Linked DNA regions of Caenorhabditis elegans. The protein of the gene in region 1 purifies or fractionates together with the protein of each later gene. This does not show direct contact. Each region holds a gene or a part of one and is shown in the gene's direction. Other genes may lie near its edges.

The links.
Region 2: the proteins of gna-1 (region 1) and C36A4.4 fractionate together in Caenorhabditis elegans (co-fractionation; one large-scale study listed by BioGRID). This does not show direct contact.

Annotation. Positions count from the first base shown.
Region 1 is NC_003283.11:10,319,015-10,322,069, reverse strand, and holds gna-1 (Glucosamine 6-phosphate N-acetyltransferase), read left to right. Parts: upstream 1-1,918; coding exon 1,919-2,416; downstream 2,417-3,055. Other genes in the region: srdf-3 (Polyprenal reductase), read right to left, coding at 26-291, 338-529, 954-1,102, 1,153-1,352; Putative pseudouridine synthase B0024.11, read left to right, coding at 2,536-2,644, 2,695-3,055.
Region 2 is NC_003281.10:3,840,696-3,845,821, reverse strand, and holds C36A4.4 (putative UDP-N-acetylglucosamine pyrophosphorylase), read left to right. Parts: upstream 1-2,207; 5' UTR 2,208-2,211; coding exon 2,212-2,463; intron 2,464-2,517; coding exon 2,518-2,938; intron 2,939-3,441; coding exon 3,442-3,790; intron 3,791-3,840; coding exon 3,841-4,094; intron 4,095-4,151; coding exon 4,152-4,330; 3' UTR 4,331-4,576; downstream 4,577-5,126. Other genes in the region: maph-1.3 (Microtubule-associated protein futsch), read right to left, coding at 1-661, 708-929; C36A4.11 (uncharacterized protein), read right to left, coding at 4,672-4,679, 4,738-4,936.

The DNA of each region.
Region 1 (3,055 bases):
AAAACGGATGAAACTGACAACTTACTCTATACACGTAGGCATCAGGAATTACAAGAAAAAGTGACAAGTAGATGCATATCTCGAATAGAAAGTGAGGACATGAGACGAGATTGAACCAACCACCAAAGCAGATACCATAGGCGTAATTGCGAATTAGTCCTCTAGGACCTTTTCTTGTATTTGCTATTTGTTCGGCTAGCTGATGTTGTTTCCAATTGCAAATCCAAAAAAGGACAGCTCCAGCCCATTGGGTGAGAGAAATATCATCAATTGACACGTGAAGCTGAGGTACTGTGAAAATAAATTACTAGAACATTTCAGATAAGTATCTTCTTACATTTGGAAGCAACTCCCTGTGTTTCACACATAATTGAAATTGGCAGAATGATGTAGTGGACTATCCCAACTGCATAGTGAAACAAGTTCATACGACTGTCCGAGTAAACACTGACAAATATTGTTTCATAGAGACGTCGTGCTACGTGAAGGCTTATGAGCAGGAGAGCCAAGATTGATGTGCTTGGGGTAACTGAAAACATATTTATTTCAACTTAAAAGTGTATAATATGATATTCTAATCAAATTTCTAATTTCTGAAAATTTGAGTCAAAGTTTTGGTAATTTGCCAAATGGTATTTATCTATTTTTAAATTTACGAAACGTTTGAAGTTTTTGAAAAATTTAAAGCAACACCACATGTTTGAAGCCCTACAGTGATTACATAAAATATTTGAAACATTATTAAAATATAACATTTGTAGAATACAATATTTTTGTTGTTTTACAAAATTGAGTAATAGACACTTTTTGACTGAAAATAAAAAGTTTAAGTTCTACTGAAAATTGAAAACAATGAAATTAATACAACTGCGTCGCGACTTCGCATATATTCCAAAAACCACTAATCAAAAAAAAAAAAAGAAAATCACTTTTTTTTTAAAAGAAAAACTTACTTGGTGGTATACTGTAGGATCGTGTTAGCGTGGCAAGAATCTTGAGAACCACTGGATGCAGATAATTAGGATTGTAGATTAACGAGTGGACAGTGTGTAGACATATAAAAAGTGTTAGAAGACCGATTGCGTAAAAATGCTTAAACCATCTGAAAAATTTCAGACAAGGATAGAACTCCCAAAGACTAACTGTACTCACTTTTTAGGTACAGATATTTTTTCTACCAAAGAGTTATCTTCTTGTTGATCAGCAGCTTTTCCATATGTAGTTAGTGCAGGTATCAATCGACAAACGTGAGGACATATGAGAGTAAAACAACATGAAATGGCAAGTCCAAGCGTAGATACTAACAGATAAAGGGGCAGTGCTTGGCGCACTTCCCAAAGTCTATCTAACATTCTGAAATGAATAATTGTATAGAAAAATCAATGGACACAGAAAAATAAAGTCAAAAACGGAAACAAGAAGAAAAGAGCGGAAATGAGTAATGGAAACATTTTTGGACGAGGGAGGAGCCGACGCAGAGTTTCTTTTTCTGAGGAGAGAATACGCCAAACGAGTGCAGCTGCAAGTGTGTAAGTGCGCGATGAGAAAGTAAATAGAAAAACCAATGGCAGATACTGGGCAGTTGGAGTTTTGAAAAAAAAATAAAGAAAAAAAGAAGTAAAACGTTTTCTTTTGATTTCACAGGTCGTTCAATGTAAAATGTTTCTAAAATGTTTGTCCGAGAGGAGTACATGGCCGAGAGAACGCGTGGCCGTGGCCTAGTTCTAGGAACAATTTTAAACGTTGATTTATTTATTTTTTGCGTCGATTTGGAACAAATCTCCGCATCGTTCGAGTTATAATTTCTCTCCTTATTTTAATTTTCATTTTTTCAAATATTTAGCAAGCTGCGCTAGATTCCTCCTAAGTTTTTCTCATTCGTTCGAACGATTTGTCATCACTTTTCTTCAGAGAAAATATGTCTCACATTTTTGATGCGTCTGTGTTAGCTCCACACATTCCTTCGAATCTTCCTGACAATTTTAAAGTTCGTCCCTTGGCAAAAGACGATTTCTCGAAAGGATATGTTGATCTTCTGAGTCAGTTGACTTCGGTCGGAAATCTTGATCAGGAAGCATTTGAAAAGCGATTTGAGGCGATGAGGACCTCGGTCCCCAATTATCATATAGTCGTCATCGAAGATTCCAATTCTCAAAAAGTTGTTGCATCTGCCAGTTTGGTTGTCGAAATGAAGTTCATTCACGGGGCAGGAAGTCGCGGAAGGGTTGAAGATGTTGTCGTGGATACTGAAATGCGTCGTCAAAAATTAGGAGCCGTTCTTTTGAAGACTCTTGTTTCTCTTGGAAAGTCTCTCGGAGTTTACAAAATTTCTCTCGAGTGTGTTCCTGAACTTCTCCCATTCTACTCACAATTCGGGTTCCAGGACGATTGCAATTTTATGACTCAGCGCTTCTAAATTTCACACGTTAATTCATTGATTATTCTGCTAATGGGGTCTTGTAATATGGTTTTTACGCATAATTTGTTTTATCGTTTGGTCTGATTTCTTTCATGTATTTATTGAATAAAGTTTAGATGGAAACCGAATTTGGATTGACCGAGTATGCCAGTGAGCATACAATCACTCCTGTGCCCTGCCTACTGAAAGAAATGTACAGTGACTTCATCGTTCAAGAAATTTTAGGTTATTTAATCAAACTCAATTAATGTTACTAGAATTAATTTTATTTTCAGCCGACCACACAGTTTTGGCCATTCCATCGCCAGATGTTGTCCTAGAAAGTACTGGGTCCAAAAAAGAAGACATTGAGATCGAAGAGTGTGTTGCTAAGCCAGATTGCATCTCAGAAGAGACATTAGCTGCATTAAATGACCGATTCTCTACGAAAGGAGATCCCGTTCTTGTAAAAGTTGACGATTTGAGCAAGGAAGATCGAAAAAGCATTCATCATTTCATTAGAGAGCGGTATGCTGGAGTTTTAATCACCGAAACGAAGGAAGATGGAATTCTGGTATCTCATGGTCATACGAAGAGCAGTCGGAAGCGAAAACTATGGGATGAAAAAGTTCCAAAGGAATGTCACTTCACCATTTG
Region 2 (5,126 bases), on another chromosome or scaffold:
TCGGTGGAACGGCTGTTCTGGTAGCAGGAGCTGCACTTCGTGTAGTCGTCGGACAAGCTGGGCCTGTTGGAGCACGAGAAGTCAACGCTCTGGGGGCACTGACTGCAGGGATTGCTGGACGAGTTCTTGCGGCGCCGGTTGTAGATGCAGATCTAGTAGATGGTTTTCCGGCAACAGGTCGTGGAACGGCAGGAGCAGGAATATCCAACAACGCATCCTTCGACTTCACGGTGGGCGCGTTGAGGAATGGAAGTGATTTCGCTGCCTTGTCGAGCGATTGTTGGATCCTCGCAAGTGAGCTCGTCCCCGAAATAAGCACTCTGACCGCCGATTGATCCGTCATCGCAGGCCTCCAGAGCAGGACGGCGATGGTTCCATTCTCAGCGGCCGCCTTCTCCACTTCTGCCTCGTTTCCTCCTGCCAACGCCTTTGTGATCACTTCGGAGTCTTTGACGTCTCCAGCCAGAATATACATGGAGAGAACTCCTTTTGCAGCTGACTGGTATATGATGTGTGCCGGATATTTCGGGCTGAACAGTGGCGGTGCAACGGAGAGAAGCTTCGAGTTCGCTTCTTGAATTGCTTTGGCAATCTCTCCACTGCTTCCCGGCTTGGCAGTCTTGAACGGCTTCGTGTTGGTGAACACCGGCAACGGTTTTCCCTGAAAAAAGTAGATTATCAAAATTTTCATTAAAGTTTCTACAAACCTGTTCCAACAGAGCAGACGTGGTTCCGAGGTTACCAAGCGTCGGCGCGGCGAGCAGCACGGCAGAGACGTCCCTGACGTGAGCCACGAATCCTGGGCTTTTTTCGGCGAATCCCCCATCGAGAATGTAGACGCCGTCAAAATCAAACAAGGTGGCTGTGTTGGCCGCACCGCCCAAGACGTAGACGCATGCCTTCGACGACATGATGTATTCTTCCGGCATCTGGAAAGAAGGAGTAATTTTCAACAGTTTTAAGCACGTATACGTAGAAAATGAAAGAGAACGCTGAAAGATTGAATTATGGCGAATTTTATGCCAAAATAATTACAAAAACCCTAATTTCGGAGTTTTTCGCGCTTTTCTGTAGACTTAAGTTCATTTTTCAACCATATTAGCGACTAAAAATGTTCAAAAACTAATCAAAAATGTGAAATAAACGACAAAATTATAGGGAAAATGCAAAAGCTTCTTGGCTGCTGACAAAATTGCAGATTTTTTAGGATTTACAAAAAAAAGGTTTCAGTGGGCGGTGCCAATTCGCAACCACCGCACGCTCATTTCGCAAGCCTCGCACGTTTTTTCAGTGATCTTTTTAAATACCTTTTTTAAAGAAAAACGCGCGAGAATAAACAAATAAACAAATAAACAAAAACGAGACAGAAAAACACGAATGAGCTCTCTCGCCGCCTTATATAGCGCGGTGAGAGACGCAGAGAATGCAGGGAAATCAGAATACGACCGCTGCCGCCGTGGATCAAGATCACTAGTGATATCAGTCTCCTCTTTGTTTGATCTACCAGTAGAAGTGCAGAGCGCCTGCGATGGGTGGATTTTTTTCATTTTCAACTTTTTCAATGTCGCTGAATCAATACGTCATTTCTATTGGAAGCTAGTCTTTTTGGTTATTTTTTAGATTAAGTTTGAGTCTTGCGGTGCTCGAAAAACTCAAAATCTTTTTAAATCCACTGGTATATATATATTGGGAGAATTGAACTCTGTGCATTTTTCCGTCACTGTGTTCGCGTACTTTTAAGTTTTTATGGCGGCAGCGGCGCCATGTTCAGATGTTTTTTTATATGTTTTGTGATCTTTTCATCATTTTCTTGAAGAATTTGCAGATTTTTTTTCATTTTCAGTGAATTTTTCTTAATAAAAACTTTTTTTTTCCATTTAGATTGGATTTCTCCGCATTTTCTTCGGCGAAACAAGAGATTCTCTGTTTTTATTGCATTCTAAAAACGTTAAGCCAACAATCAATATTTTGTCGTGTTTCTTGTTTTCCATCTCCTTGTTTTTAGAGTTTTAAAGTAGGAAACGTGTTAAATAAGTGCAGTTTTTTGTGTCTATCTATTTTCCAAATGAACATTTCTGTAATTAGAGAGAAGCTGCCACACACAGCGTTATGAATAATTATTTTCTTATCTTTGCGCCGTGTATTATCACTTTTTGAATTGTTTTCCACCGGAGAATCGTTTATTTAATTTTGATCATTATTTTCAGTACGATGACCATCACTGCTCCACCAAAAGACGAGATTATCTCAAAGTTTCCGGGCTCTGAGCCACTTCTCAACTTTTACAATGAGCTCTCGGATGCCGAAAAATCGAAGCTTTTCCACCAAATTTCAACTCTAAACCTTTCGGAAGCTCATCAATGGTTCATTGATTCAGCGGATCAACGGGCTCCATCAACTGCGGAAGACCTTAAGCCGGTTCTTGATTCTCAGCATTTTGTACAAGCTGAATTGCATCAAGTGGTAGAGACTTTTAATATTTAGGTAAAACCATCATTAAAATTACATTATTTTCAGATCCTCGATGGTCTCTGGAACAAGGGAATGGATGCTATTGGACGTGGAGAAGTATGTGCAATTGTGCTCGCCGGTGGACAAGCTACACGTCTTGGATCAAGTCAACCGAAAGGAACGATTCCATTGGGAATTAACGCTTCATTTGGAGATTCTCTTTTGGGAATTCAAGCTGCCAAAATTGCACTTCTTCAGGCTCTCGCTGGAGAACGGGAGCATCAGAATCCGGGAAAAATTCACTGGGCAGTTATGACGTCACCTGGAACAGAGGAGGCTACTCGTGAGCATGTGAAGAAACTGGCGGCTCATCATGGATTCGATTTCGATGAACAAATTACTATTTTCTCACAAGATGAAATTGCTGCATACGATGAGCAGGGAAACTTCCTTCTCGGAACTAAAGGATCTGTTGTTGCTGCTCCAAGTATGAGTTTTTACGCAATTCGTGTACTCCTCGAGGAAAACTGTTTTTACGAATTTTTCAGCTATAATTCTGACTTTTTGATTATTTTTTAATCTTCAAAACGAAAAATTATATGACATTTAAAGTATTTTCGGTGTCAATATTGAAAGCAGTATTAATTGCATGGATTTTCACCCAAAACACACTAAAAATATAAATTAGTTGACGATTTGAATTTAAAAAATATCTAAAATTAAGTATTTTATCCGAATACTTAAAAATTTCGTACAAAAAAATAATTATTCTTTCTCGGGGAGTACACCAGCTGCGTAAATCGACACAAAAATTTTAAAAAATGAGTTTTTCAACGAAAAAAAAATCGAATTTTCAATATTTTAAAGATAATGTGTTCTCATCAAACTCAACTTTTTTTAGAACATAAAATCTAGACTTTTTTCTGGATTTCAAAAAAAGAAAATTATCGATTTTCTCACAAAAAACCGAAAAATCATATTTTTTTTCAGACGGCAACGGAGGTCTCTACTCTGCCATCTCTGCTCATTTGCCACGTCTTCGCGCGAAAGGAATCAAATATTTCCATGTGTATTGTGTGGACAACATTCTGTGCAAAGTTGCCGACCCTCATTTCATCGGATTCGCCATTTCAAACGAAGCTGACGTTGCAACCAAGTGTGTTCCGAAGCAAAAAGGAGAACTCGTCGGATCAGTTTGTCTTGATAGAGGACTACCACGTGTCGTTGAATATTCGGAGCTTGGAGCCGAGTTGGCTGAACAAAAGACACCGGATGGAAAATATTTGTTTGGTGCAGGATCTATTGCAAATCACTTTTTCACGATGGATTTCATGGATAGGTTTGTAATTTCAAATTTGGAGAAAAAGCTTAATTTTAAAATAAATACAGAGTCTGCTCTCCATCATCTCGTCTTCCATATCATCGTGCTCACAAGAAGATTTCCTATGTGAATGAGCAGGGAACCATTGTCAAACCGGAAAAACCAAATGGTATCAAGCTGGAGCAGTTTATTTTCGACGTCTTCGAGCTCTCGAAGCGATTTTTCATTTGGGAGGTGGCGAGGAACGAAGAGTTTTCTCCATTGAAAAATGCTCAATCTGTTGGAACTGATTGTTTGAGCACTTGTCAGAGAGATTTGTCCAGTGAGTAGATTTTTCTGTGAATTCAGAATTAAAATTGATTTAAAAACTGATTTTCAGATGTGAACAAGTTGTGGCTGGAACGTGTTCAAGCGAAAGTGACTGCAACTGAAAAGCCGATCTACTTGAAGACAATTGTCTCCTACAACGGAGAGAATCTTCAAGAACTCCGTCATCGTGAAATTTCTGATAGTGCCTTGGAATCCGATCATTCGATTAACAAATTCTTTGTTGTCTAGTCTTCTTTTGTTTCATATTTATACTGATTGCCCTACTCATTCCCCTATCATTTCCCAGCCAACTGTGTTTTATTTATGTTAAAATCCCCGTGATGCTTTCAAATTTCCTTCGGTATTTTCCCCAAAAACCGTAGTTATTAGGCCGATATTATTGCTTGACATCCATTTGTTTTAAATTTCTTAAATTTTCGTAAACTGAAACGAGTTCGAATACAGATTTTGTAAATACTAAAAATGTTAGAATGAGTTGGTACAATTTTATAAATTTAAAAATGACAATTTATTAAAAAAAAAAGTTATCCTTGGAAATGTGCCTTCTGTTGGGAGGATGTATTTAGTCATTAATTTCCTGAAAAGAGCAATAATTTAAACAAGCAAATAACAAAAATTAAAAAAAAAAAACTTACCTAATAGGCCTGCCACGCGGGACTTGTTAGCACCGGATCCAATTCGAAGGCAATCTTCCTCTTCTTGTGCATCTGAGCCACCGTGGCTGTCGAAGATGTCGCAGTAGAAGCTGCTATCCGAACATTCTCCAGACTCTGTAGATCCACCGAAACCACTTTGGATGATGGCTTCTCTGTCGTTCTTCGCCTTTGTTCCCATTTAAGCTCACGCTCTAATATCTCGAATTTCTCCTTCAAAGTCCACTCGGGAGCATCAAAGGGACTTAGCACCGGTTTCCAAAAGTTTCCTGATTCGAATAGAAGAAGAATATTCAAAAACTATTCAGTAGTAATTAAATATAAATAATTAATAAAATCAAAGTGAGAGAGCCTGTACACAAAAGCTCGAT